Linked DNA regions of Sus scrofa. The protein of the gene in region 1 purifies or fractionates together with the protein of each later gene. This does not show direct contact. Links are inferred from orthologs where the notes say so. Each region holds a gene or a part of one and is shown in the gene's direction. Other genes may lie near its edges. The genes, in order: uncharacterized protein LOC106505238, POLR3C, POLR3F, POLR2F, CRCP, POLR3K and UXT.

What was found.
Region 2: the proteins of uncharacterized protein LOC106505238 (region 1) and POLR3C purify together in Homo sapiens (affinity purification with mass spectrometry; 3 studies listed by BioGRID and IntAct, with this or other methods). This does not show direct contact. The link is inferred for Sus scrofa from reciprocal best matches to the Homo sapiens genes POLR1D and POLR3C.
Region 3: the proteins of uncharacterized protein LOC106505238 (region 1) and POLR3F purify together in Homo sapiens (affinity purification with mass spectrometry; 3 studies listed by BioGRID and IntAct, with this or other methods). This does not show direct contact. The link is inferred for Sus scrofa from reciprocal best matches to the Homo sapiens genes POLR1D and POLR3F.
Region 4: the proteins of uncharacterized protein LOC106505238 (region 1) and POLR2F purify together in Homo sapiens (affinity purification with mass spectrometry; 4 studies listed by BioGRID and IntAct, with this or other methods). This does not show direct contact. The link is inferred for Sus scrofa from reciprocal best matches to the Homo sapiens genes POLR1D and POLR2F.
Region 5: the proteins of uncharacterized protein LOC106505238 (region 1) and CRCP purify together in Homo sapiens (affinity purification with mass spectrometry; 5 studies listed by BioGRID and IntAct, with this or other methods). This does not show direct contact. The link is inferred for Sus scrofa from reciprocal best matches to the Homo sapiens genes POLR1D and CRCP.
Region 6: the proteins of uncharacterized protein LOC106505238 (region 1) and POLR3K purify together in Homo sapiens (affinity purification with mass spectrometry; 3 studies listed by BioGRID and IntAct, with this or other methods). This does not show direct contact. The link is inferred for Sus scrofa from reciprocal best matches to the Homo sapiens genes POLR1D and POLR3K.
Region 7: the proteins of uncharacterized protein LOC106505238 (region 1) and UXT purify together in Homo sapiens (affinity purification with mass spectrometry; 3 studies listed by BioGRID and IntAct, with this or other methods). This does not show direct contact. The link is inferred for Sus scrofa from reciprocal best matches to the Homo sapiens genes POLR1D and UXT.

The regions. Positions count from the first base shown.
Region 1 is NC_010453.5:5,085,678-5,089,790, forward strand, and holds the end of uncharacterized protein LOC106505238, read left to right. Parts: intron 1-3,572; coding exon 3,573-3,834; 3' UTR 3,835-4,090; downstream 4,091-4,113.
Region 2 is NC_010446.5:99,491,012-99,495,595, reverse strand, and holds the start of POLR3C (DNA-directed RNA polymerase III subunit RPC3), read left to right. Parts: upstream 1-1,458; 5' UTR 1,459-1,794; coding exon of another isoform or gene 1,795-1,896; 5' UTR 1,897-2,380; exon of another isoform or gene 2,381-2,424; intron 2,425-3,388; exon of another isoform or gene 3,389-3,393; 5' UTR 3,394-3,413; coding exon 3,414-3,560; intron 3,561-4,087; coding exon 4,088-4,343; intron 4,344-4,453; coding exon 4,454-4,584. Other genes in the region: E3 ubiquitin-protein ligase RNF115, read right to left, coding at 1,795-1,896. UniProt on the Homo sapiens protein: DNA-dependent RNA polymerase catalyzes the transcription of DNA into RNA using the four ribonucleoside triphosphates as substrates.
Region 3 is NC_010459.5:26,732,643-26,736,755, forward strand, and holds part of POLR3F (DNA-directed RNA polymerase III subunit RPC6), read left to right. Parts: intron 1-519; coding exon 520-663; intron 664-883; coding exon 884-991; intron 992-1,980; coding exon 1,981-2,172; intron 2,173-3,854; coding exon 3,855-3,932; 3' UTR 3,933-4,113. UniProt on the Homo sapiens protein: DNA-dependent RNA polymerase catalyzes the transcription of DNA into RNA using the four ribonucleoside triphosphates as substrates.
Region 4 is NC_010447.5:9,904,493-9,907,968, reverse strand, and holds the end of POLR2F (DNA-directed RNA polymerases I, II, and III subunit RPABC2), read left to right. Parts: intron 1-1,893; coding exon 1,894-1,965; intron 1,966-2,428; coding exon 2,429-2,519; 3' UTR 2,520-2,610; downstream 2,611-3,476. UniProt on the Homo sapiens protein: DNA-dependent RNA polymerase catalyzes the transcription of DNA into RNA using the four ribonucleoside triphosphates as substrates.
Region 5 is NC_010445.4:16,583,704-16,587,816, reverse strand, and holds the end of CRCP (DNA-directed RNA polymerase III subunit RPC9), read left to right. Parts: intron 1-1,456; coding exon 1,457-1,606; 3' UTR 1,607-3,513; downstream 3,514-4,113. UniProt on the Homo sapiens protein: DNA-dependent RNA polymerase catalyzes the transcription of DNA into RNA using the four ribonucleoside triphosphates as substrates.
Region 6 is NC_010445.4:41,569,784-41,574,644, forward strand, and holds the start of POLR3K (DNA-directed RNA polymerase III subunit RPC10), read left to right. Parts: upstream 1-1,945; 5' UTR 1,946-1,989; coding exon 1,990-2,178; intron 2,179-3,540; coding exon 3,541-3,628; intron 3,629-4,262; coding exon 4,263-4,390; 3' UTR 4,391-4,861. UniProt on the Homo sapiens protein: Core component of RNA polymerase III (Pol III) which synthesizes small non-coding RNAs using the four ribonucleoside triphosphates as substrates. Can mediate Pol I proofreading of the nascent RNA transcript.
Region 7 is NC_010461.5:42,175,428-42,178,785, reverse strand, and holds the end of UXT (protein UXT), read left to right. Parts: intron 1-2,271; coding exon 2,272-2,335; intron 2,336-2,548; coding exon 2,549-2,599; 3' UTR 2,600-2,644; downstream 2,645-3,358. UniProt on the Homo sapiens protein: Involved in gene transcription regulation. Acts in concert with the corepressor URI1 to regulate androgen receptor AR-mediated transcription. Together with URI1, associates with chromatin to the NKX3-1 promoter region.

The DNA.
Region 1 (4,113 bases):
CCGACGCGGGCCACAGACTAGACACGGTGCCCAGCCTCAGGTTAGACAGGTCGGGTGTGACTGCCTCATGAGTTGAGGGTGTCAAACAAAGAACTTGGTTTTCAGAGATTTTTAAATTTGAGAACAAGCGTATGAAATCATAGGTCGGGAGGTACCACTCACCGGAGCTCGACTACGTGCCAGGCACTGTGCAAGGCGCTTCAGACACCATCTCCTTAAATCCTCGCAACAGGGAGGCGCTTCTGTTACTTCTGTTTACAAAGAGAAAACTGATGTAACCTTCCCTTGGCCCCAAGCTAATTCGGCTGTGGGAGTAGGACACGTTTTACTGAGGCTAAAGGGCTACACTTTACCAGGTGCTTGTCAGGCATCGGGCATTGTCCTGAGCGCATGCCCTCACCCTCTGAGCTGCATCCAAGCCTCCCAAACCGTCTCCATTATTATCCACTATTAAAAGATGAGAGGCAACGGAAGATGATTTACCAGGCCCAGGGCTCGGTCTGGTGGATCGCATGACTCCAGAGCACGTGGATAAACTGTGTTGCACGGGGTTTGCAGCAATCCACTGGCTGGCGGTGAGTTGATGGCCACATTAAAGGCCTGAGCCGGCCCTGCCAGTGAGCTCCTCAGCCTCACGCTCCGTCTCTTAATGCCCGAGCGTGGAGCCATTTACTACATATGCCCCTTCAGTCGCCCGCAACTGCCCCCCCATTTATTAATGCGTGTGGGCGGGCACTTTTCTTCATCTCTAAGATGCGTCCTGCACCAACATGCTTGGAAAGAGTCGCTTTCATACCCCACTCCAAGAAAACCGAGTTCTCGCCAAGCCATCCTCCACGTTTCACCTTGAATAGAACCCCAGGCACAGCCAGCATTAAAAGTTGCACCTCTGATGTTTTGTTTGTTTTTTTTCTCCCAACACTGGCATCTCTGATGTTAAAGAGATGTCAAAGCCAGTTTTCTTGTGGACTTTCTTCTAGAAAACCATCTCATTCCAGAATAGCTCTTTTGGAGCTCCCATCATGGCTCAGCAGAAACAAATCTGACTAGAGGGAAAAGGACGTGGGGTGTGGTGGATGCAGCCCGACGTCAGGTGGTGGCGGCCCTGGGGGTTTGGTTTGCTTTCCTTTTCCGGCTGGAGTTTAAAACCACAGTGAATGAGATGAGGAGCAAAGAAGAAAGGCAACAGCAAAGAGAAAACGCTTCTGCAAGGACAGGACACACACTGTTGGGCTCCCTGCAGCCCCCAGGGCTTTGCTTGTCTTCCAGGAAAGTACACTGGCTTGATGCTGGAGATGGGGGAGTTCCCATCATGGCTCAGTGGAAATGAATCTGACGAGCATCCATGAGGACACAGGTTTGATCCCTGGCCTTGCTCAGCGGGTTAAGGATCTGGCGTTGCTGTGGCTGTGCTGTAGGCCAGCAGCTACAGCTCCGACTAGACCCCTAGCCTGGGAACCTCCATATGCCACAGGTGTGGCCCTAAAAAGACCAAAAAAAAAAAAAAAAAAGAATAGCTCTTTTGGTGCCCATGTTGAGTCGATGGGTTACACATGCAGCAGGAAGCCAGGACACCTCCTCTGACACATGGCCCCCTCTCAGCACGAAGCCTGCAGTTTTCCAGCTGAAGAAGACCGCACTCCATCTCAGGCGCACACGTGGTATTAAAGATGGCCTCATGTGGAAGGTGGTGAAACACGTCCAATTCACCAGCAGTTTCCAAAGGTTTTAAGATCCTGGGTTATTGCACCGCCTGGCAATAATCCCCTTCCTTACTCATTTATTCCAGAGAGGAGCTGAGCAGTTTTTCCAGCCCTGATGAGCCACTGCACTGAAAACGCCCCACGGTTCTTCTGAAGCCGGCTGGCTTTCCCCGGCTGGCCCGCCACGCCCAGGGGAGATGGTGGTCCTGCAGGAAGCCTGAGCCAGAGCTGGCAGAGAGGGCCGCTCGGCTTTTCCTGCTCTTTTGTTCCACAATGAAGGGCAGCCTCCTCCCGCAGGCTACTGAGGTTGTGTTTGCTATAACACACCAGTGCGTCCTGCTCTCTTGATTTTTTGCTAAGTTTGCAATGCGGTGGCTCAAGGATCGTCACCCCATCGATGCCTGAATTCAGTGATAACCTAACCTGGTCACCGAGGGAAGAGGCTGGCTGGCCCTCCTAACTGAACAGAGGGTCCTAGGGCTGTACCTCTGCAGGGCACACCTGGCTATGCCTTGTATGCCTGGCCATGCCTGAGGCAGCATCAAGCCAGTGTACTTTTCTGGAAGACAAGTGAAGCCCTCGGGGCTGCAGGGAGTCCAACAGTGTGTGTCCTGTCCTTGCAGAAGCATTTTCTCTGCTCTTTTGCTGTTGCCTTTCTTCTTTGCTCCTACCTCATTCATTGTGGCTTTTAAACTCCAGCCGGAAAAGGAAAGCAAACCAAAGCCCCAGGGCCGCCACCACCAGACATCGGGCTTCGACCTCCGAGCCCCACGCCTGCCACGCCTGATACCTGCTGGGTGCGAGACAGCTTATTTGCAGCAGGAGACATTTTCCTGTCTTTCTCCTCCTCCTTTTCCTTCCAGATTCAGTGCCATTCTGGTTGCCTGAGGGGGCCTGACCTCGGAACACGGGGCACTAGGCTGGTGAGCAGTTTGGTCTCTCCCCCACGAGGGCAGGCCAGAAAGTCACTGCAGTGCGTGCCCGTGTTACGTGGGATTCGCCTTGAATCGCAGTTTGATAGAGGCATGGAGATCACGGACGCCTACATTCACTTTTGTTCAACACCAGCCTCCCTGAGTAACACCATCTGCAGGATCAGCATCCTCCTAAAATAGCCCTGCGTACAGGCAGATGGCTCAAGGCCAAGAGAAATACTCAGGTTTTATTTGTCTGGGGTTGTCTTTCCTAAAATGAAAGATTTACTACACCTGAAAAATCAAACATCCTGAGTGTGCAAGCAGAGCAAAGCATGTAAACTATGCTGTGCCTGGTTGCACCCTTCCTTCCGGGTGAACTTGAATCATGACACCACTGAAACGGAGGCAGCACAGAACCTCCCTCGGGGTGGACGTGGGAAAAGGCTCGCTGACAAGGCAAACTCAACACACAGTCTCAGAGCAGAAAGTGTGAGCCTTTCAGAGGGTGAATGAGGTTACTGCAGCCTCATGGAGTCTTTAGACAGCTTCTGTTTCTACGGTAGCTCGTTTCCTCCGGGAGGGACTTATTTTTGCTCTTTGATATTTAAAAACAAGCCGCCACAAAATTTAACTCGAAATGCGGATGACGGTCAAATCAGGGACTTGGGGTGTAAGGAGACAGTGTTAAACGACTCAGGCAGTCGGCGCTGTGGTCAGTACCTGTACACACCCTCTGGTAGGGTCGGGGCTCGTCGCCTCTGAAGTCTTGGGAGAAGGGCCCGCGGGTCTCCGCAGGCTCTCCTTGCCCTGTACTCGGAGTTTACACTAGGTGGCACGCAAGGGAAGCTCACAAGTCGGGAAACTTGCTTCTGTGGAAGCCGCTTTCTTTGCTGCTCCGTGGGCTCAGCTCTGGAGTCAGTGTTTGATGTGTGCCTGTCCTGTTTCCCCCCAGGATGAAGTGTCCTCTTGCTGGTACCAATAAGAGATTTCTCATTAACACAATTAAGAACACTCTGCCGTCCCACAAGGAGCAAGACCATGAACCCAAAGAGGCCAGTGCGGAGCCTGCGAAAAGCCAGAGCCAGAAGGAGGAAGGCCGGCAGAAGCACAGACCGCATCCGTACAAGCCGGGCGGCCGCGCAGGAGGCGCCGCCCGCCGCTCCCCGGGGAAGCGGGGCCAGGAGAAGCCGCAGCCGCGCTCCCACACGCGGTGAGGCGGGGCGAGGGCTCGGGCGTCCCCGCCCCCGGCCCGGGGATGCGGAGACCCGGCGAGGACCTGCCCGCGGCCGCCCATGCAGGACGTCCCGGCTGCAGCAGCGCGTCGCCGAGGCTCGTGCTCTGCAGGTGCCCCGGCAGCGAGTTCAGGCTGCCTCGCGGGGCAATAGCCCTGGGTATTGTTTCCATTCTACTTTGGGAGCTGGCTTCAAAATAAAGCTAGAACTTAAACGTTTTCAGAGATTGCTAAAACTAGTTCCACTTTTCTGTTTGTTTGG
Region 2 (4,584 bases), on another chromosome or scaffold:
TGCCTCAATTTACAAATCAGGCATGACAGATAATAAATCAGACTAGAAAGATCAATGACTTCTCCTCCAGGCATCAAACTAAGGCTTAGAAAAACACCTAAAAAGTCTTTCAAATGAGCCCTTTTCAAGAGCACTTTGAAGTGAGGACTTGAGATGGTAGGGAGAAAAGATACAGTAAGTGGAGGAAAGTTAGACTGTTTTCTCACTCTCAAAGGCAAACGGTGAACAGCAACTTAAAGATCAGAATAGCCAAGGCCTCACTGTTCATTAGGGCATCACATTCAACATGTCACTCATCACACATGCACTGGCTGAATTCCAGACTCCCTCTCTGTGGTAAGGAAGAGTTCTGGAGCCTCCAATGTCCACTGGAAAAACAAACAAACAAACAAACAAGCCACGGCACCTGCTCTTCTCAGCACTGAAGTATAGCAAAAAGCACACAGACACAGACACACAGCCAAATCATCCAAGCAAAACTAAAAGAGCGTGTAGATGAAACTACGACCATGAAGTTAGGGGTGGGGCAAATAGAGAAGAAAGAAAATACAGCAAAAGCCTGAAAAAGCACAACTCAAGTGAAAAGGCTAAAATACTGTTTAGGCACTTTTCACTGGACTCCACTGGTGTTTCTAAGAACTAAGACACAGAGACACACTTTAATAGGCTTTCTCACAGATTGTATCTGAGACACTATAAACACTGAGATAAGTAGTTACACAGACACCCTCTTAAGGCTGAACAAAGATACTTCTAAGGAAAAGAACAACCATAACTAGTTCTAAAGATGGTTGGCCAAAGGTAGGATTAACATTCACCCTGGTGGATCTCCCTGCAGTAGTAACTCAACCTAAAACAGCCTCTGGGCTTGGGGTGCAATAGCTGGCAAGCATGCTGCAGAAGCACTTTTTTTCCACAGCCAACAGCACTACCTCTCTAGGGGCTAACACAGTCTGGCAGAAACTGACGAAAACCAATTTTACGTCAGAGGATGCAGTCCCCAACATTCTGTCCTAGATCTTCTCACTAAGTGAAGAGAGAGAATGGGGGAGGGGAAGGAGGGGCGGGTAAGGCAGGTGGTGCTAAAGATACTGGCAGCATGACAACCAAAATAAGAGAGTTGAAAGAATATGTTCTGCCTTCTTCCTAAAGCCATTTCCTTCGACAGTGATTGGGATCGCAGTCCGCAAGTCATTAGTACACCGCTGTTTTCACTTTCACAAGAACGCTGGAAACCCCTGAAGAGTAAAATCCCCCTCTCTGCCCAGTTACCTTCCAACCCTCCCTCCCCCCCCCGCCCCGCTTTCTTCCCTCCTTCCCTAGAGACAATGAATAAAGACAATCCTCAGCAATCCGCTATATTGCTTCAATGAGGATAGTGGAAGGGGAGATCTGATGAAAAGTGGAAAAGGAAATAAAGATGAGAAGCAACAGCGGAAGGGGGGGGGAGGTCATTGTGGAAAGAGACAAGGTGAAGAAGAATGTAAGAAAACGGAGAGGAGGGGGTCAGCAGAAAACTTGCTAAGGAAAACCAGGAAAAAAAAAATAATAGAGGGCAGGTAAAAAGGGGAAAGAGTGAGGGACAGGTGGAGCATCCGAATGGAAAAAAGGCTGGGCGGGAGTTACTGAGCCACACAGCCCGGACGCCCGGGGTTTAGGAGACAGTGGGCAGCAGGTACCTGGGATACCCATGTCAGGGGAGTCGGGGCTGTGCGGGAAGCCTAAGCGCCGTTCTGGGACATCCGGACGAGGAACCCACGCGGACGCTGGCGTGCAGAGGACACACACTCTTACCGGTAGTTTGGGGCTGACCTCGCCCTTGCAAAAGTGGCAGAAAAACCGGTGCGCGGCAACAGCGGCGCCTGCGCCGGCCCCGGCCGCCGAGGCCTCCGCCATTTTTCTCTCCCGGCGCCGCCGTCCGAGAGGGCAGCCGGCCCGTCGCTCCCCAGGCCGCTACCTCCCGGCTACAAGAGACGCCTCTGCCTCCGCCGCCGCCGCTTCTTCAGCGCAGCTGGCCGCTCCAGAGTCCGCGCGGGTCACGTGAGCCCGCCCGGCCCACAAGGCGTCGGCGAGGACGGCGACCCCACGGCCCGCCTCCCGGCACCAAAGAGCTACAGGAAGGAGAGTCCGTCCGGCGCTGCCCTCCCGCCGGCTCCTCTAACACCCCTCGCCGGTCCTCCAACCTCCCAGCGAGAAGGAAGCAAGAGCGTCCCCGGAAACCACCGAAACGCTGGGGTAGAGCGGCACACGTTTTTCCTCTTTGCTGACCCTCCTCGTTGGCCGGGCTCCTGCGCAAAAGGGCCTTGGGGTGCCTTCTGCTCGAGCCGCTGGCTGGAGCCGCACGAGGTCGGCGGCGGCTTTAGATTGCATTGACCCAGAGGTTAGTGGAAAATGCGGTCTGAATGAGGCCGTTTCTCTAGACCCAGGGACCCAGTCCGGAACCGGAACCTGGGGGAAGGAAGTGTAGAATCAGGAGCCAGGTTCCTTGGAAATCCTTATCAAGGATGGCAGATGGTCTGGGGATACTTCCCCAAAGACCTGTGAGTGGGAATACTGAGACTGAAAGACACAGTCTTGGCTTCTGAGGGATTGGGAGAAATAAATGAACAGACCAGTGTGTGGTAGCACTTATGACAACAAGTGATTTTATAGTCAACTATGTTTGTTTCTTTTTGTGTCTACTTTGTCAAGGAGTAGAAATTTCAGAATACTGCCCTGCCAACAACATGCTTCATCTGTTGTTTGAAACACTCTGTTGAGACGCTCCTAATTTATTTTGCAAAGTTGTCATTTCTTACGGATTGGGAATGACACTTCCTGTTCACTCCCAATAGGCTGTGAATAGTGTCCTTAATTCCTCCAAATAAAATCATCTACACACGATATTTAAAGAAAATTGGACTCGTACATCCCATAAGGATAAGTTTGATATATTGTCTTGCAGTCTTTTTTTTCTTATACCTATAAGAAAAAAGGGGGTTTTTTTTTCACAATAATTTAAGTTTCTTCTACATTTTGCTTTGTAACCTGCTTCTTTCACTTAATGAACAATTTTGTACACTAATACATGTTACACTTCATTGTAAACATAGACGTAGTATGCCATTGTATGAGTCTACCATAATTTATTGAAATAATCCCGTATTGTTAGATATTATATTGTTTCTGGAATGTCAGTATTCTAAAGTGACATCATTATTATTCGCTTGAAACAAAATAGCCAAAGCAAAAGTATTAGGTCAAAGATATGCAAGATTTTAAGGCTTTTGACGTATCTACTGTCAAGTTGCCCTCCAAAAAGTACATGAATTTACACTTAGCAGCTCTACTCCAACATAAAAGAAAAACTTCCCATCGTGCTATTTTTTCTTTTCTTTTCTTTTCTTTTCTCAGGTCTGAGACTTCTCAGTACAATGACTCAAGCAGAAATTAAACTGTGTTCTTTATTGCTGCAAGAGCATTTTGGAGAGATTGTAGAAAAAATTGGAGTCCACCTAATCAGAACTGGCAGCCAGCCACTAAGAGTTATTGCCCATGACACAAGAACATCGCTGGATCAGGTATGTTTGGATCACACTAATTTGCTTTTATTTCATTAGTTTCCTTTACCTACCCTTGAATATTACTACTCCCCACCCCACAAAATACAAAAGAGAGCTACACTGAGATCAGAACAGTGTCATTGGGAGGGAGAGAGGATGAGACATAGTGCCTAAGGTTCTGCTTCTCAAAGCGATCTGGCTCACTGTGGCTTCTTAGGCAAACCTGTGCTTTTCATTTGCCATACTTCATTCATGCATGATGAGTCTATTAATTTCAGCACTACCTTTAAGGAATGGCAGTAACAGAGAGCAAGTAAGTTGTACTTTGTAAGATAAAGATCAGAGGAAATATGAGCTAGGAATCCTCCTGATTTCTTCATAAGATGAACAATGCGATTCTTAACAGCTATTCCAATGGAGAGAGAGAAGATGCACGGAGGTTCCAGCCATCTCCTGAAGTTTAGTAAATTGTTGGACAGAAATTGCCAACAATAATGAACTGCATTTTCCAATTTTTTTTTCTCTTTCTTTTGTGTCCTCTCTAGGTTAAAAAAGCCCTTTGTGTCCTCATCCAGCATAACCTGGTGATATATCAAGTGCACAAACGTGGTGTGGTGGAGTATGAAGCCCAGTGCAGCCGGGTGTTGCGAATGCTTAGGTATCCCCGGTACATCTATACTGCCAAAACGCTGTACAGTGACACTGGAGAGCTGATTGTTGAGGAGCTGCTGTTGAACGGCAAAATGACAATGTCAGCTGTTGTGAAGAAAGTAGCAGATCGGCTCACAGAGACTATGGAGGGTCAGTACTGTACCCACAGCTGTTAGCAAAAGCATAGATTGGCTGGCTGCAGGAGTGGCCCCTTAGCTGTCTGAGGCCATCTCACCTGCCTCTTTCCTCCTGTTGTACAGATGGCAAGACCATGGACTATGCTGAGGTATCGAACACATTTGTGCGACTAGCAGACACACACTTCGTGCAGCGTTGCCCCTTGGTGCCTGCCACTGAGAATTCAGACCCTGGGCCATTGCCACCTGCCCCT
Region 3 (4,113 bases), on another chromosome or scaffold:
GAAGGGCACTTTACTTCTGTGGTCCTTTTTCCAGTCTAATCAGACAAATCCCAGTTAAGGGACATTCTACAGAATTTTTGCCATTCAGGTGAGTTTCTCAAAACTGATAAATTCATCAATAACAAGGAAAGTCTGAGAAAACTGTCACAACTAAAATTTGTGTATTTACATCTACTTACGCAAATAAGTAAATGTAATGTAGTGTTCTGGATAGCATCGTGGACCATAGAAAGGACATTAGGGAAAAACTAAGGAAATCTCAATAAAATATAGACCTAAGAGTTAGTACTGACATATTAATATTGGTTCATTAATTGTAACAAATGTACTCTAGTAATGTCAGATGTTGCTAATAGGGGAAGCTGAGCACAAGGTCAGTGGGCAGTCTGTACCATCTTTGCAATAATTCTGTAAGCCCAAAACTGTTCTGAAATATAAAGTTTGGAAGGCTTTGAAGTCTTAGTTTTGGAAGCCTGTGTTGTTACCTCTGAACCATCTGCTCTGCATGTTTTTTCCTAGGCCTCTAAAAAGAAGGTGTATATGCTCTATAACCTGCAGCCGGACCGGTCTGTGACTGGAGGAGCCTGGTACAGTGACCAGGATTTTGAATCTGAATTTGTAGAAGTGCTTAACCAACAGTGTTTCAAATTCTTGCAAACCAAGGTGAGGCATAACTGAGATCACATGATCACTGTAGTTTTTTTTTTTTTTAAGTTTCTTCACAAGAAATGTTTAATCTTGTACATCATATTTTGTTTCAATTGAAAATATTGAGATTGTTCTTTTTCACTGAACAAAATACATTCTGTTGCTTTCACTCTATATAAACTGTATTTAGAAAACACCAGAATTCTTCCTGAAATTTATGTTTCTATCTTTATAGGCAGAAACGGCAAGAGAAAGCAAACAGAATCCCGTTATCCAAAGAAATAGTTCTTTTGCTTCATCACATGAAGTGTGGAAGTATATCTGTGAGTTGGGGATCAGTAAGGTCAGAACTCAGTTTCTAATTTTATCTTGTTCTTAAAAACTTATTCTTCAGGAGTTCCCGTCATGGTGCAGTGGATAACAAATCTGACTAGGAACCATGAGGTTGCGGGTTCGATCCCTGGCCTTGCTCAGTGGGTTAAGGATCCGGCATTGCTGTGGGCTTTGGTGTAGGTTGCAGATGCGGCTCAGATCCTGCGTTGCTGTGGCTCTGGCGTAGGCCGGTGGCTACAGCTCCAATTGGACACCTAACCTGGGAACCTCCATATGCCGTGGGAGCAGCCCTAGAAAAGGCAAAAAGACCAAAAACAAAATACTTATTCTTCATCACAGGGATATAGTTTACAGTATATTCCAGACACACCTGACACAGACCCTTTTTTCAGGTGATACCTGTGTATATTCTGCAGAACCCATTTTGAGAAAGTACCATTCTAAGCCAGTTAGGCAAAGGCGGTCATTGCCATCGGGCACTTGGTGAACTGTATGTGCTTGAGCCTGGGATACAGGGTAGCAGAGTGGAGGCCTGACAGTTCGTTTCACTGCCAGATTCAAGTCTGTTCTGGCAAGTCTGTGACTCTCTGGGGGACATTTCAACATATGTGCCAAACATCAGTCATCGTATCAGTTGTCACTAATTGGTATTTTCCTCCTTATGAGATGCAAGTGGTGGTGTCAGCACACTCTTCTGAACATCCATACATATGGACAACATCAGAGAAGAAACTGAAGCAGTCACTTGGACAAGTCATTTTCATTTCCTGGGTTGCAGATGTTTCTTTCACAAAAAACCAGGAATTTGGACTATTTGATACTCAACCATTTTATAACTCTCCATCAAATTCTTGCCAAAGAAATGTTACGAGATGTCTGGATCTTACTTAGGAGCGTGAAGATGTCAACAAATGTCAAGCTCAGCATGAGCTCAGTTAACCACCCTCCAGAAGGGTGTCTCCTTGTCCTTGGGTCCTTTCTAACATGTCCCTTTTTTAGGTAGAGTTGTCCATGGAGGATATTGAGACCATCTTGAATACGCTCATTTATGATGGGAAAGTGGAGATGACCATCATTGCTGCAAAAGAAGGCACTGTTGGCAGTGTGGACGGGCACATGAAACTATACAGGGCAGTCAACCCAATCATCTCTCCCACGGGATTGGTCCGGGCCCCCTGTGGACTCTGCCCGGTGAGTTCAAGTGGCATCACTGTACACTTCACTGCCACCAAGTGCAAAGCTGCATAACGTACCAGCAAGCACACCCTAGTTTTCTCAAACCTAGGGTTGAACCAGTGCTGCTGAAGCCTCCATGTAACCTTGAGGACAGGCCTTTAATGAGCAAATGATCACCATACATTCTTAGAACAACCAGGTTAAAGAAATTTGTTTTCTGTTCTTGGTCCCAAAATGGACATTTTTTTTGTTTTGTTTCGTTTGGTTTTGGTTTTGGTTTTTTGGTTTTTTTACTTCTTATTTTTTTTTATTACTCAAATGAATTTATCACATCTATAGTTGTATAATGATCATCACACAAAATGGACAATTTTTTGATGGGAGCAAATCATTTAACCTATGTAGGGAGGGAACTGAGATTTATTGAGAACCTGTCATGGGCCAGACATGTTCGTGAAGGTCTCTGTGGTCTCATTTAACCCTCAGGTCCCTCACAGCTGGCAGTGTCATTTCCCTTTAAGCATGAGGGAACTTAGGCTAAGGGCGCTCTGAGAGCATACAGCTCAGACACAGCAGCCAGGACTCACAGCTAGAAGTGATGTGCTTTCCTGAGGCCTGGCCCACCCACGTTTTCATTTGTTCCTTCCCAGAGAGCTCCTGAGCACCACCCGTGTGCTGCAGGCACTGTCCCAGCCCTCATGGCATTTATATCCTTGGCCTGCTGGCCTGTGTTTTATGATCTACACGCCTAAGCTCTCTATGCCCTGGTTTCAGCTCTCATAAAAATGGCTAACCTGTTGGGAATTCCATTTATCACCTTTCACACAAAGAAGGTAGCTAAACAGGGGGTGTTTGGTCAGTTAAGTCATTTGTGTGTATAGATCTCCCTTCCTGGGCTCTTGTTACCTGCCAGCACCCCAGTGGGCAAATGAACGTGGTTATCTTTATGTGTGTTGTCTTTTTTTTTTTTTTTTTTTTTGTCTTTTAGGGCCGCACCCGAGGCACATGGAGGTTCCCAGGCTAGGGGTCTAATCAGAGGGGTCTAACCACAGCCATAGCAACATAGGATCCAAGCTGCGTCTGAGACCTGCATCACAGCTCATGGCAACGCCAGATCCTTAACCCACCAAGTGAGGCCAGGATCGAACCTGTGTCCTCATGAATGCCAGTCAGGTTCACTAACCGCTGAGCCATGAGGGGAACTCCTTGTGTGTCTTTTTAGGGCTGCGGCTGTGGCATATGGAGGTTCCCAGGCTAGGGGTTGAATCGGAGCTGTAGCTGCTGGCCTATGCCACAGCCACACAAGATCCTTAACCCACTGAGCAAGGCCAGGGATCGAACCTGTGACCTCATGGATGCTAGTCAGATTTGTTTCCACTGAGCCACACAGGAACTCCAAACATGGTTATCTTAATGCTAAAGTGAAAGGTCTCTCACTGACTGATCACAAAGCAAGTCGTGTTTCAGTATGTTCTTACATACAGTCCTAATAAAACCTCTTTCAATTTGAAAGTTTTGTTGTTAATATTGTTTTAAATAAACAGTTGGGGCTGGGGTATTTTATTAGAAATTTCAGTTGTAGTTGATATTAAGACATTATCTGTAATGTAATAATTTTATAAAGTAATAATTTAAAACCTCAGCATTCTTAAACTTTTTAAAACCTCAGTGTTTATAAACTTTTTTCTTTTTTAAAGGTATTTGATGACTGCCACGAAGGTGGTGAGATTTCCCCATCGAACTGTATTTACATGACAGAGTGGCTTGAATTTTAATAGAGAGATACGAACTTTACTGACATTTTGCCAATGAAGTTACATTGGAAGCAAGTAATTAATGACGGAACATCAGATTCACTTCAAGGCAAACTTCAAGATACAGACTCATTGCTATGGAAAAGTATTTTTGAAGACTAAATTTATATTGGTAGTCAACAGAATATGCAACAGGTAAGGT
Region 4 (3,476 bases), on another chromosome or scaffold:
GTCAATGCTCGTGAATTATTTGTGTCTTGAAAAAAATAAGGCATGAGCAGATAAGGGAAAGCATTTTGCCACATACTTGAAAGCTTTAAATTTGGGGGAAGTTTGTATACTTGCTGAGAGAGGATACAGGGAAAGTTAAACACTCGCTCTCTGCCCTCGGGATGTATTCAAGCTTTGGGAGTAACAGACATCAAAATATTTAGTAACGAAATTGGAAGGTTATTTTAGAGTCTGTTCAGAGGGTCTGGGGAAGGACCTGGGAACCTGTACATTTAGCATATGCTCTCCTAGTAATTTCGACACTTAGCAGAATGGGGACCCATTCATGTGAACTTAAGCTGGGATCAGTAAGGGTGGCTTCTTGGAGGAAGTGGGCCTAGAACTGGCATTGTTTGTGCCTGTTTGTTTTTAGAGCCTCTGCTGTGAGCCAAGTATTATGCTAGAACATGGGATCCTGGGCCACCAGGTCTAATTTGGAAAACTTCAGACAAGTAGGCACAGTGTAGTGATACTGGTGCCAAGAGAAGTGTGTGTAAAACCAGTCAGGACTCTTGAGGATTCAGCAAGTGATTTCTGGAGTGGAGACATTTGAATCTTACGGGCTGTTAGGGAGAGGAGGAGCTTGTACAAGGATGCAGAAGGGAAACCGGAGGCTGTCCAGGGAATGGACGTAGTCTGGTGTGCTGGAAGGTAGCGTCAATGCCGGCAAGCAGCCCGAGAAGGTGAGCAGGAGCCACTGGGGTTCTGCCTGATGGCCGTGGGGTGTCACGGAAGGGTCGTAAGCAGGCCCTTAACGGCTAGAGGAGCAGGCCCCTTGTGGGGGTTGATGCCAGGACAGAAGGAAGATGAGGTGAGCTGGGCCCTGAGGCAGGGCCGGGGGGTTGTGTTAGAAGAGTCAGAAGGGGGAGCTTTTGCACCTGCTGGTCCTTTGTGCTGGAATGCTTTGCTGTGGCCGCGGGCCCAGGAGTCTGTGATGGGCTCTGGGGAACATCCTTGGCAGGGGAGCTGACATGATGAATGTCAGAGGGCCCAGTGATGAAGGCTCACACTTGACCCTTTCACGATACCTTCCATTCAAGGTCTCCAGCTTTTAGCGGGAGGTGTTACAGCACAGTAAGGGGGAGCCTTTGGGGTTCACATGTTGGCTCTGCCACTTACTGGCTGTGTGGCCTTGGGCGAGTTACTGACCTCTCTGTGCCTCAGTTTCCTCGTCAATAAAATGGAAGTACCAGTAGGACTTGGCTCAGATGAAATAATCTAGGTGAAGGGCTGAGGGCAGCAGATGGCATGTATGAGTCTTTGCTTGTTAGCCTGTAGAGTTTCACCGTCACTGTTGTGTAGGCCTTTTTGTCTTCATTTTCTTTCTTTCTTTCTTTTTTATTTATTTATCTTTTTCGCTATTTAGGGCCACCCCCACGGCATATGGGGGTTCCCAGGCTAGGGGTCGAATTGGAGCTGTAGCTGCTGGCCTACGCCACAGCCACAGCAACGCAGGGTCCAAGCCACATCTGCGACCCACACCACAGCTCATGGCAGCACTGGATCCTTAACCCACTGAGTGAGGCCAGCGGTTGAACCCGCAACCTCATGGATCCTAGTCGGGTTCATTAACCGCTGAGCCATGATGGGAACTCTTTGTCTTCATTTTCAAATGAGGATGCTGAGATTGGGAGAAAAACATTGTCCTTGGAGGCGAAGGGTCAGTCTGGTTTGCTGGCTCCCACCGTGGACCCTCACTGTCGGTGCCCCTGAACCGCCGCTCCCTGCCCACCTACCTGGCAGGTGCCTTTTCTGGGTGAGGCCTGGTGTGCTGACCACATTCACCCCGACTTGGTGCTGGGCCCTTCTCCCCGTGTCTGTAGTCACCCCCAACACCTGTCCCTGTACCTGCAGGATGTGTGCCCCCGTGATGGTGGAGCTGGAGGGGGAGACAGATCCCTTGCTCATCGCCATGAAAGAGCTCAAGTAAGTCGTCCAGGTCCCGGTTCACTGCTCCAGAGCCCAGGGGCCACCCCTTGGGTTCTCTGCTGCACTCCCCTCCCCGCTTCCCTGCTGGGGAGGTGTGGTTCTTATTCGGGCTCTGCCCTTGGCGGGAGGGGGACGGGGAGGGCGCCGGCCAGGGGGGAGGGGAGGACATGGCTGAGGCGTGGCCCCCGCCTGTCTGTCAGCACTGCCCCATTCCGACTGCGCAGCCCTCCGCTCTCCCTCCTGCTTCAGCCGCGGGAGGGCGGAGCCCTTCCAGACCCACCGTCCCTGCTCAGCGACGCAGGAGCTTTTTGGGTGGTGATCCCTGTCCTGCCCGGGGCCCCCGTGGTCGCAGGAGGATGCTCCTGAGACGTCTCTTGCCTCGCGTCCTCCGCATGGCCCGTCCTTGTGCCGCAGAGCGGGGTCAGCAGCCCTCACGTACCTTGACTTCTCGCCGCCGCAGGGCCCGAAAGATCCCCATCATCATCCGCCGCTACCTGCCTGACGGGAGCTATGAAGACTGGGGGGTGGACGAGCTCATCATCAGCGACTGAGCTGCAGTCACCTTCCTGACGGTGCCTCGCCCCAGTGTTCAGTCTCACCTTCTTTACGCGTGTAAATAATAAACCCTTCAACCTTTCAGCCCCCTCTGCCTCCAGCTGTCTGTGAGCCCGCCCACTCCTTCCCTGACACAGCACTGCTGCCTGGAGGGTGCGCCCATCCCAGTGGCCCCGGGACTGTCAGCCCTTTAGGAAGCACCAGGGGCCCTGGTCTCCTGGGGCTCCCCCGTCCCTCCCTCCATCTCGCTGCTGTCCACCAGAGCAAAGGCTGCGGCAGGAGACACCTCAGCTGCCTTCCTGGCAGACAGAAGAGCCTTTGTGCCCAGGGAGCTGGTTGCCACGGAAACCCCCAATTTCCTTTCCAGTGGGGACTGGCTGCAGGGGCTTCTCCCTTCTCAGGAGTATCACAGAGCAGGTCTCATCAAGCCACCCATTGTTTCCTGAGGACCTGCCTCGAGCCTCTTATCGTGGGCTCGGATCCCCTTTCAGGAGCCAGTGCCCCAGCAGGAAGCTTGGGGATGCAGTGATCTCCTGCCCTCCCCGAAAGGGCCCTGCCGGCCAAGTCAGCAGCTGGAGCGAGGGCCGAGCACCTGCCCACCTGCCCCCTCAGTCCCCCCTCCGTAGGCCACTGCCCACACACTGTCCTCTGTGACCCACCCCTCGGGTCTGCCACACCCATACCCTCCCTCGCAGCCTCTGGAAGCTGTCCTTTCCCGTCCATGTGGGGCCCCGGTCCTGCAAGGCCTTCCCTAGGATGGATGCTAGGGTGAAGGTGGGCGGGGAAGCAGGGCTTCTGGGTTCAAGTTAAGTCTGGACTGGAGGTCACGTTCCTCTGCCCTGGGTTCTGATGGGTCCTTTTCTCTTCACTCTCTTGACCAAGTCAGTGACGCCGCTTGCTCTCTCCTCTGGGGCGGGGAGGGGGCACGACAGGAAGAGAGTGTGTATTGACAC
Region 5 (4,113 bases), on another chromosome or scaffold:
ACCTGAAATCTCATGGTTCCTAGTTGGACGCGTTTCAGCTGCACCACGACGGGAACTGCTTACGTGTCTAATTTTAAAAGTGTGTCTTTGAGGATTGTTCCTTTTTCAGTAGAGAAGTTATGTGGAGCCTTTGAATCTTTAGAATATGGTCGTTTTATTTCACAGCATGAGGGGAAGTAGCTTCCTTGGTTCACTCTGGATCTTTACTCTGGAACATCCAGGAGTATTGGCTAGTTCTGGAAACATTTTTGGACTGAGATGAGTGAAGAGGCCAGTGGTTTGCTGGGAGTTTGATCTTGGGCACATCACCAGACTTCTTTAGCTTCTGTACTATTGTTTGTAAAGCTAGGCAGTCAAACTGAAGTCCTTTTTAGGATCATAAGCCTAGCTTGTCATCATGCTTTACTTAAATCTGCCAGGAATTCTTTCTGGAACGCCTTTTGATCTTAGTGGCCAGATTTCAGAGATTGTTAGGGGAAATGCCATAGGCTAGGACCCTGGACATCTTTAGCTGAGAAAGTGGTTTGTGATCGATGGCTCATGCCACCAAGTGAGTGTGGTTAGGTAACTTGACTGCCTGCAGGCTGCTTTTACAAAAGTGGTTGATTACATTATTTTTTTTGTTTGTTGACCTATTGAGAATTAGAGATGAGGCTAAGAAAACTGGCTTGTGATTGTGGATTTCATCATCTCTATGTTCGGCTGCCCAGGAGCACGTCAGAAACTGGGTTCGAAGCAGACCTTTGATGGGGTCGAGGGAGATTGTTTCCCAGCTGTCATTCACGGACTCCTGTTCTGCATTCTCCTGGCCAAGGCCATGCGGCCTGTGTTAGATTGTAGGTATTAGAGATGGGCAGGCCTGGCTTGGGATTCTGCCCTTTGCCAGGCTTGTCGTGAGGTTTAACAGAAATAATGAGCATGAAGTACTAGGTGCGACGCTGCACTGGGCACAGGAGCTCCCTAAAGGGCTGTTGTCAGCAGTGATAGTAGTGGGGATTAGCAAAAATATATAAAGCATTTGGCACATAGTGGGCGGTCATCCAGAGAGTTGTTGATACAGTTTATAAGTTACAGCTGTGTTGTTGTGAAATTACCAAAGTATATAAGATGCCACTTCGCTCCCCAGAGGTGGGTTTTCTTTGCATGTACAACATTCATGTGTGTATGTGGATGGGTAGAGAACTGTTAGGGATTGCTTTTTCTTTCAGGAAAAAATGTTAACCTGCAGCTTGCTTTTTTCACTGACCCTTGTGGAGCATTCACACTGGCTTACTCTGGAACTTGAGCTGGCTTCTCCCATTCATGAAGATGGAGGACCTGGACACCAGGGGTGGCTCAGGAGCCAGGCCCTGAGCCCCGGGCCTAGACCAGGAATAACATGGGTGAAGAGGGCGAGGCTGGGCCCCGCCATCGAGGCGTCTCTGTAACTCCTGGAGGGTTTTCTTTCCCTCTGCAGATGGTGGAGGAGAGCGAAGAACGGCTGACAGAGGAGCAGATCGAAGCTCTGCTCCACACCGTCACCAGCATCCTGCCTGCGGGGCCAGAGGCTGAGCAGAAGACACATACCAGCGATGACGTGACAATGGACGAAGAGGACCCGGCCTAGAAGAGCACCGTTGGCTCCAGGGTCTTGTGAAGTCGAAAGGCCCAGCAGCCATTTCCCAGACATTCAAAGGACTGTTTATTTGGTTTTACCTTCTGTCCCAACAGGCCTGATTTTGTGGCTGGTTTGGTAAACCACAAAAATAAGCCTTCCTCAGAAAGAAGCTAAAAAGAAATTCTTGTGCTTTGGAGAAGAAACCTGGTAAAGACAGGCTGAGGTAGTGGTCAGGGCAGAGAGCTAAAGAAAGGAGGACAGGGTCGAGGAGGACAAGGACGTGGAACCCCCTGTGGTAAAAATCCTTCCATGGTCTTTGGCGTGCTCGGGGCAAGGTCCTTGTGCATAGCTGGTGGAATACTTCCTTGTTGCCTTTGATGGGCTCTCGCCTAATTAATTCCATCTGCTTCCCTGGGCGGCTTCCCTGAAGGCCGCGGAGCACTGTTGGGATGAAAGCTGAGTTAGGAGAATCCCAGTAGAGGGCTAAAAACACGCAAAGCAGCAAATGGTTGCTCTGAGTTAAAATCAGCTACTGACCTTGGCTTACCTCAGAGGACTCCTTTCCTTGCGAGAAACAGAGATAAAGGAACAGCCTGGCCATCCCTTCCTCAGGCCCCTTTCCTCTGCTGGCGTGGGCCCTGTGAGCTGGCTCCCTAGTTAGTCCGAAGTGTTAGAGCGCCGGCTCCCTCCCGTTGAAAAGAGGCATCCAGGCCGAATGACCACGTCGCCTGCCTTTCTGCCCACCTTCGGTTTCCTGCCCCGTGACAGGCGCTGCTTGTTGAGGCCAGCAGGTGAGCTCCATGTGCACAATGGGTGCATTGTATCTTTTTAAAGGGCACAGTTAATGTCTCTCTTTTTGTGGACAGAATATGAAGAGGTAGAGGTTGATTAATAAGACTTTAATTTTGTTGGCTCTTGCAAGGTTGCATCAGTTTTTGAAAATTTAAAATGTTAGAATAATTACCATGTGAAGAACTTCTTAATGTTCATGCTTTGGAGAGTGTCGTAGCCCCAGACGTGTAGTTGCCCTTAGGTCCTAGGAATAGTGTTAAAAATTAATTCCCCCGTTCACTCTGCTCCCTATTTGGGGAAGAAAATGCCCATAGACATTAATTTTTCAAATTGGTACTCGTTTTGTTGTACGATTACATATTTTCCGTGCTTCTGTTAATTGGATTACTTCCCGCCTCTTGCTATTCCCAGGTTATTTCAGCCTCCCCACCACCCCTGCCAGCTGGCAGTTACGTTCATCTTAACCTTATCTTCTAAGGATGACTTGAGATCTGCTCACAGGCAATGTTGACATGAACAGGGCATTTATTTTTAAATCTTCTTCAAGTATCAGGAATTTTACCAGGAGCTATTGATTTGTCAAGACACGTATTTTGGTGCTCATGTCATTGTTGTTGCATTTTTGAGGTGCTTTTTTTCTTCATGGATTTAAGGCTTGATTAGTTGATGATAAATTGTTTCCAGGTGACTGCCAACTTGTGCTGTTTTTATCTTTCAAGAGTTTATTTTGCCTTGATTAGGAAAAAAAAGAAATCTGACTTAGAAAACATATATAAAATATATACATGTTAGTATTTTTCTTAAATTGAATCTATTTAGATCCGAGAATTTAGCCTCAGCTTCTGATTAGGTCAGACTTACTCTTTATAAGAAATATGGTCTGTGTAATATCCCCATCACATTAATAATCAATATTTCAGAAATAAAAAGTTGTAATTTACACAGGATCACATCTGGGAAGGAGAGCTGGGAGACTGGGAGACTTGCTTTTTTATTTTATATCCTTCTGTATGGTTTTAATGTTTGACCAGGTGATTGTTTTATTCTTTAAAAAGAAAAAATGTTTGTTTGCATGTTATCCTTGGTCTTTGTGAAAGTTAATAAATGCATTGTCCGTAGTTAAATTACGTTCCGAACGTGGAGGCTGACACCCAGTCCGGTCACTCTGGGAGACACAGCACTGAGGGGAGGTGATCTTTCGAGAAGGTGCTCCTGAGCTCTTGAAAAATGAAGTTGATTCCCAGTTAGTGGTTTATCCAGATAACCTCCTTGCCTCTTTTTGCTTCAGAGTTTTTGGATGACCCACTGCCAGCTCAGGGGACTTGCCATTTATTCAAGGTTCATTCCTGAAATAGTGGGTACCATTTTCCTAATCAGTTGTTGTGTAACCATATCAGCCCTCAAGAGTTTATACCCTAGTGAGGGACGAGTGAGTCAATCCTCCAGTATATTCTTCACTAAATCATTTTTTCCCCTGAGCCAATTTATTATCAATTTTATAAATGGATCATGCCTCAGTAAACTGCATATAAAACAGATCACATCCCCTGAAAAGGATCATCAACCTTATTTAATTACATAATGAACGAAGGGGAGAAAAGGAAGCAAAATGGCCCAGAACTTCCCAGAAATCCTTATACCTATTTTTAAAATTAGGATATAATTCACATACCATAAAATTTACCATTTTAAAATATTCCACCCAGTGGTTTTGAGTATAATCA
Region 6 (4,861 bases), on another chromosome or scaffold:
CAGGCCCCGACTTTGCCCCTGACCGGCCCTGCTAAGGCCCTCCCCCGAGTTCCGCCCCTCAGCCTGAGATGGTAGGAGGCGGCACCTACGCATGACTTCTCCATCGGTCTTGCACACTCGGACTGTCATCGCTTGGCCATATTCGAGGGCTATTTGGGAATTGACTTCTTCCAAAGTAACCTAGAAGAGACCCAGGCTGGGGGCGGGAGCTTGCTTCACCGCCCCAAACAAAAGGGAAGAAGAACCAGCCCATCATTCAAACAAAGCGGTACCATATTTGGGGAACGTTCTTGCCTACGGGTTAGGGGGGGTCCCAGTGTTTCAGCACCTCCATCTCAAGTCCTGGTCACCTTTGCCAAGGAGGCGGAGACCCGGGAGAGGAGAGCAGAGAAACAGCCTCCTTGAGGAGCAGCCCTTGCTCCTCCGGCCCAGCAGCTGGATGGGAGGGGCAGCCCTGGGCCTGAGTGCCCAGCCTGGGAGGGCTCCCCCTGCCCCCAAAAAAACCCTCAGGCCCTGGGGCCCCAGGCAAGGCTGGGGCAGGGGTGCAACATTTACCGGGGCAACAGAAGACGAATACCACTATCAAGAAAACAAACTAATTTAACATTTTCATGATGGGCAAAATACAAAGATTTAAAAACAGGAGTGTGCCAGGTCATACTGAAGCCTGAGGAGAATGGAGAAATCTTTATTATTTTTCATTTTTTTGGTTTTTTAGGGCTGCACTGGCGGCATATGAAGGTTCCAAGGCTAGGGGTCTAATCGGAGCTGTAGCCACTAGCCTACACCACAGTTCACAGCAACGCCAGATCCTTCACCCACTGAGCAAGGCCAGGGAGGGGTCGAACCTGCAACTTCATGGTTCCTAGTCGGATTCGTTAACCACTGAGCCATGATGGGAACTCCAGAAATCTTTAATACTGGTCTTTTTATCTGACATGATATCATTTTGTTTACCCTAGGTCTTTATAAACCAATGTTGAGTTTTAAAAACACTGTACTGGAGTTTCCATCCCTGGCCCCACTCAGTGGGTCAAGGATCCTGCGTTGCCCATGAGCTGTGTTGAAGGTCGCAGATGCCGCTCTGGATCCTGAGTTGCTGTGGCTGTGGTGTAGGCCAGCGGATTCCAGCCCTAGCCTGGGAATTTCCATATGCCCCAGGTGCGGCCCTAAAAAGACAAAAACAAAAAGCCGAAACAACAAAAAACCTCCTAAACCAACCAAAACACTATACTGAAATGTCATGTGTCCTGACTAGCGGGTTTTTGGCGCTCCTTTTTTATTTTTTTTTTGGCCATGCCCGCAGCATGCGAGAGTTCCTCTGCCAGTCGAACGCACGCCCAGCAGCACCCGAGCCACAGCAGTGACAATGGCGGAGTTCTTAACCGCTAGACTACCAGGGAACCCTTCGTAAATGCCGCGCCGGAGACCAGTGCCTCGCTCGCCTCCCAGGCCCAGTCGGAGCCTAGACCCTCGTTTACGCCCTGAGGCCGCTTCTGGAGGTCTCCGGGCCGCTGCCATCATCGGTACCCCAGAATCGGTCCTCTCCCTGACGCTGGGCTCCGGAGCGGGGGAAGAGGCCCCGACCCATGCGCACCTGGATCGGAAGGTCGCAGAGCAGCGGGTCCTGCACCACCATGGCCAGACCCTCTTGGAAAACGTCCACCGCCTCGGAGTGCGGCAGTGCCTCTTCCTCATCCTCCTCGTCCTCCTGCGGCTCTGGCCGTCCCGAGGCCCCCGCCACCTCCAGGGCGCCTCGCAGCCCGCGGGTTCCGCCCCCACACCGCCTCTCGCGACCCGGGCCCGGGATTCCCGGGCTTCCCGCGGGGAAAGCCACCCACGGCCCGGCCTTTGGTCGAGGGGCGGGGCTACCGCCAGGACCAATGAGAAATGATGCTTTGGGAGCCAGCCTGCCGCAGTGCACACTGGGAGTGCGGAGCCGACGTGCCTACTGGTGGGCTGATTGCTGAGAGGCGGCCGCCGGGACCAATGGGGAGTTCGGGGCGCCCGGAAGCCCCCGGAGTCCACGGCCAGGGAGCTGCAGGGAGCGTAGGCTGGGCTGTCGTGATGCTGCTCTTCTGCCCAGGCTGCGGGAACGGGCTGATTGTGGAGGAGGGTCAGCGCTGCCACCGCTTCGCCTGCAACACCTGCCCCTATGTGCACAACATCACCCGCAAGGTGGGTCCGCGCCGGCCTCCCGGCACGCAGGGCCGCAGCCGTCGTTCTCGCGGAGCGCGCCAGGCCCTGACCCTCACCTCCCCTAGCTCCGTCCTCTGCTTGGGTTTCGCGTCCCAGCAGCCTCTTGCCCGCACCGCCAGCCTCTCGGAGGCGCCCCGGTCTTGCCCAAGGCGCTGCTTCCAGGGTCTGTGCAGGAGTTTTCTGTTCTAGTCGCTCTTCCCCTAGGGACTCACTCGTTCCTGTCACTCCTGCCTGTATTTACCTAAGGGATTGTTTATATAAATGCGGCCTTTCCGTTCCCTAGTTTTATTTTTCATATAGGGCTCACTGCCTTCCAGTATACTTTCTTTTCTTTCTTTCTTTTTGTTTGTTTAGTTTTTGTTTTGGCCGCGCCCCCGGCACCCTGGCATGCACAAGTTCCTTGTGCTGGGGACGTGGCTCGGATCGTCATTGTCGAAAAATGAGGCACGTGAACACGGGGAGATCTCGACAAGGCTCTTTACTGCTGCAGAAGGGCGCTGGGCACCCCAAAAAGTGCGCGTGCCCCGAACAAAGGACCCTCCCCTGTTTATCCCTAACACAGGGGATGTACCCTGTCCCCTTCCCGTGGGTCAGGTCAGGGTGCACGTTCTTCCCAGTTGGCTAATTTGAAACAAACTGTTACTGGGAGAAGAGGGAAGGGGGGGGGGTTGCAGGAAGGCATTTCAGCAAAATGGAGTCACCAAGATTTCTTTTGCTTATGTCGCTTTCCACACCTGCAAACCTGCACCACAGCAGCGACAGAACCGGGACAGAACCAGGGCGGTAACCCGCTGAGCCAGCAGGGAACTCCCAAGTGCTACTTTCTCCTTAGTATTTGTATAGATTTGTATAGTGTCCTGCCATGTGGCCGTGTTGTGGGAGTTTAGGGTCTGAAACGACGCGGAGGGTGGACTCTTACCTACCCCGACAGGTCAAGGACGGCTGGTAGAACCTGGCAAGTGCTTAGAAAGCTCTGCCCGGAGCCTGGGGGGGGGGGGCGGCTCCCCGGCTGAGATTGCCCTTCTTTGGCCTCAGTTCTCTGGGGCCTCGTCTCGGGCTACCCAGCCTTAGGGGGTGTGGGAGAAGAGGAGGGCCATACCCGAGCCATGCTTCTCTTGCTCCTCTTGCTTTGTCCAGTCCTTGCAGAGACCTTCTCTTGGGGCAGTCCAATCATGGGTCCTCTAAGTTCTGATGGAGCAGGGCCTCTGCCTGTCCAGTACCCCTCCCGTCCGGGTTGAAGGGTGGAAGAAGCCAGACACCTGCGGGCAGGTGTGGTTAGGTGATCCTGGGGTGTGCGGTTCAGTCAGTTGGAGAGACTGAAGAGTGGCTGTTGTTTGTTAGGTAACGAATCGGAAGTACCCAAAGCTGAAAGAAGTGGATGACGTGCTTGGTGGAGCAGCTGCCTGGGAGAACGTCGACTCCACCGCAGGTGAGAGGGAGAGGCCTGTTCCCGGGCAGAGCTGTGGATGGTACGGGGCTGCTGACTCTGCCCCTCCGTGGCAGTCTGCTTGTGCTTCTGCGAAGAGGAAGTCTATATTTTCTTCCTTAATAATTTCTTAGAAATTTTTATTTATTCATGTGGTGGTTTTTTTGGTTTGTTTGTTTTTTGCTTTTTAGGGCCCCACCCACGGCATATGGAGGTTCCCAGGCTAGGGGTCTAATCAGAGCTGCAGCCGCTGGCCTCCACCCCAGCCACAGCAAGGCCAGATCCTTTACCCACTGAGTGAGACCAGGGATTGAACCCACAACCTCATGGTTCCTAGTCGGATTCGTTTCCGCTGCGCCACAACAGGAACTCCTTCCTTGATACTTTCTTTGTTCCAAAACCAGTGTCGGCACAAGCTTTGGAGCTGTTCAGACCTGATTTCGAATCTTGAGGTGGCTTACTGCCTTATGACCGTGACCTTTCTGGGCTACCTCCACATGCCACAAGTTCCCCGGCCAGGGACTTGGTCCGCGCCGCAGCCGCAACCCAGGCCGCTGCAGTCGGATTCTTCAGCCTCTGTGCCACACTGGGCATCCTTTTTGAAGTAACCGTGGGTCCCTTGTTTTTCTCACGCCAGAGCCGTGTCCCAAGTGTGAGCATCCTCGGGCCTATTTCATGCAGCTCCAGACCCGCTCTGCCGACGAGCCCATGACCACCTTCTACAAGTGCTGCAATGCTCAGTGTGGACACCGCTGGAGGGACTAGGGCCGGGTGGCCCCGCTGCCCAGCATCTGCTCACCTCATTCCCCAGGGCGGATTCCCAGCTGGAAGGGAACTGCGGGTTCTGAGCATCTTTGCCGGTGTGGCAGAAAGCCAGCCTTCTCAGAGTGGCCCGGCCGGGGGGCCAGGAGATGGCCCCCATCGCCCAGGCAGTGGATGAATTTGCTGACGTCCAGGGAGAACTTGTGTTTGGGGGCAGTGGCCACACCAAGTGCGTCTTATTTAGGGTCCTGTTATCCATCTTTCCCGTTTAGTGGGCAGTGAGCTTTCTCTCGCCACCAGCTGACGCTCGTAAACATTTATTTATATGTTGGCACACCCAAGAAAATGGGGCTTTGACTTAGAACACTAGCTGTCCTTAAGTATTTAGCTGTTAGTTGCAAACTCGGTGGATCAGCGTTTATTCTGAATATTTACTTAAAATTAAAATCCGATACCACCTTCTCAGGGTTTTAA
Region 7 (3,358 bases), on another chromosome or scaffold:
GAGCCAAGTCTGCAACCTACACCACAGCTCACAGCAATGCCGGATCCTTAACCCACTGAGCGAGGCCAGGGATTGAACCTGCATCCCCATGGATCCTAGTTGGGTTCGTCAACTGCTGAGCCACAAAGGGAACTCCCAGTTGCAGTTTTAAACAGAATGCCTGATTGGATATGGGATGTGAGGAAAAAAAAAAGCGGAGTCTAGGTTTGGAGCTGAGCAGCTAGGAGAATGGAATTGCCGTTTTCTGAGATGGAGAAGACAGTGAAAGAGCGGAATTGGAGGGCAAGATCAGGAGTTCAGTCTAGGACCTAGTAAGTGTAAGATGCTTATTAAACAATGAAGTAGATTTTCTGAAGATGTAATTAAAACTCCCAAGGCTGGAGTTCGGGGGAGAGGGCTGGACTGAAAATATAAATTTGGGGAGTTCCCTGGCGGCCTGGTATTTAAGGACCTGGTGTTGTCACCACTGTGGCTCGGGTTGCCACTGTGGCACAGGTTCTATCCCTGGCCGGGGAACCTCTGCATGCCCCCACCCCAGCCAAAGAAGAAAATACAAATTTGGGAGATAGTGGAGTTCCTGCTGTGGTGCAGCAGGATCGGCCACATCTCTGCAGCACCAGGCTGCAGGTTCGATACCCAGCCCGGCACAGCGGGTTAAAGGATCCAGTGTTGCTGCAGCTGCAGCATAGATAGCAGCTGTGGCTTGGATCTGATGCCTAACCCAGAACTCCATATGCTGCGGGGGAGCCAAAATAGAAAAACTGGGGGGAGATAGTGATACATAAATGAGTTTACACTCTTTTTTTTTTTTCCAATTTAACATCCTATGTCGTTGCCTTCTACTTTTCTTAACAGTATTTAGTTTCCCCAAAACTGACTCTTACGTTGACAGGATAACTCGGCACAATAGAATCCACCTTCCTTATCAGGATATCAAGACCGTGCATGATCTAGCCCTTGCCTACCTCTTGGATCTTGTGCCACTTTCCTTCCACCATTCACTTACTTTCTAACACTGGCCTCCTGATTGCTCCTCTAGAAGCTCTTTCCGGCCTCTCGGACTTCTTGTGAAAGACTGTCCTGTTTAACTCTTACTCATTCTTCAGAAAGGCCTTCTTTTATCCTTTGCATCACTTAGGCTTCTTTTGGGTGAGCCTGGTCGCAGTTGGCTTAGATGTCAGGAGGTAGGAATGGGCTGGTTGGCGTAGCTCAACAGCCCAGAGCCAGAGTGGTCCCGCTTTCCAGTTGCTTTAAGCCTTGGTGTCTTCCTTGAGTCCTCTCTCTCTTGCATCCAACATCCTCCTTTGGTAAATCCTATTGACTCTACCTTCAAAGAAGTATCCCAGCTCCAATCATTTCTCATCCCCTCAACCGCTGCCACTGCGGTCCGAGTCTGCATCTCTCACCTGGACGATTCCGACAGCCTCTGCAGTGGCCTTCCTCTTCCACACCAGCTGTCCTTATCCCCAGTCGGTTCTCCACACAGCAGCCAGATGGATCCTCTGAAACCCTAGTCATTTGACCTCCCTTCTCTGATCACAATACTCCCCTTGCTCCCATCCCACTTAGAGTCAAAGCCAGAGTCCTCACCATGGCCTGGTAGATTTTACACGAACTATCTCCCCCACTTACCTCCGTGACCTCGCCTCCTCTACCTCCCCACTTCACTTTTTCTTCTCCAGCCACACTGGCCTCTTCGCTGGGCCTCAGACATGCCAGGTACGCGCCCACCTCAGAGCCTTTGCACTCTCCACCCCTTGTGCCTGGAACACACATCCTCCATATGTCCACATGACTCGCTTCTTTGTTTTAAGTCTCTACTCAAACGCTTCTCAGTGAGGCCATCCCTAAGCACCCTAATTCGAATTCCAGCCCCCACTCCTGTACTCCCATATCCTCTCTCATTTAATTTTTTTTTCATTATAATTTTAACCATCTGACATACTCCATATTTTACTCCATCATCTGTCCCCCTTAATGAGAATCTGAGCTCCAAGAGGCCGAGATTTTCGTTTGCTATGTCTGCTGCTATCTCCCCAGTACCTAAAACAACCTGGCATAGAGTAGGCATTCAGTAAAGGTCTTGGAATCAGTGTAGTGCAGATGGCGGCCAGGCATGTCTGCCTAGGAGCAGGCCAGGTAGTAGGGGTCCCACCACCTGCCGTGTGGAAGTCATCCAGGACTTAGGCGGTTCTTGAAGCGGTGAGGGCACATCATCCTCACGGATCCTAAGTGGGGCCCACCTCGCCCTTTCTCGTTTCTTTTCTCCAGGCTCAGCGACAGCCTCACCAAGGACTCCATGAATATCAAGGCCCATATCCACATGTTGCTAGAGGTGAGAGCAGCTCACCCCACTCCCAGACTCTATCTCCAAATATTTAGGGTGGTGTCCTGAGGAAGGGAGAGAGCCAGAGATGGGAAGGGCCATCTTTCCCTCCAAATGAGTCAGACAGGAACCAGGCTGGCTCTGAGGGAAGGGAGTTCCAAGCAAGCCTGAGGTGGGGCCTGGACCCAGTCTCCGTTCAATCTCTTCTGTTCTCTTTTTCAGGGGCTTAGAGAACTACAAGGTCTGCAGAATTTCCCCGAGCCTCGCCACTGACTTCTTCCTACCTCCCTTGACATTAAAGAGCCTGAATGTCTTTGAGTCACGTGGCCCTTCTTTCCCCCATTAACTTCTGCTGTTGGCTAAAGTGCCGTTTCTAAAGCACAATGTTACTGGGAGGCGCAGAGATCCAGTCTGTGTAGAATCTTTAAAGCACCACTGAAGTGCCGCCTCCAGCCTGTTTCCTGGCAGAATGTGCCACCTGACTTTCCGCTCTGCCCTCTCTACCATCGCCTTGGCAACCTGGGCCCCCACCTGACCCTTCTTTCTATTTCCTTTCCTGTGCACTACTGCTTGAATTAACCATAGAGAACGGGCCGATTCAGGGTGGCGGTTTGTTCCCTAAGGCAATCAACCTTTCACTCCTGGCCCTAAAGTTTACCCTTCTCCCACACTCCAATCGTTCCTCAGGTAACTTAAATTACACCCACGCCCGTCTAGGCCCAACCTTGGCCTTGTCCCAGCTTCTAAATAGTTACAGCTCCAGCAATGGGCGCAGGGCCGATCTCGCCCGCCCTCCCTGGTCCGGTCCTCATTCTAGGCTGAATCCAGCTTCCGCCAATCGATACAGAGCCAGGTTCCACCCCTTTATTACTGGCTGCAGCTCGACCCTGCCCTTGTAGGCATTTCGTTTCCACCACTCAACACTCCTTCGCACGTCTGGCAGCTGTCCTGCCCTCCTTCCTCTGCTTCGTTCTAAATTCGTCTTTTCTAGCCAATCGCCACAGAGTTAGCCTGCCCGCCTCCGCAGATCCC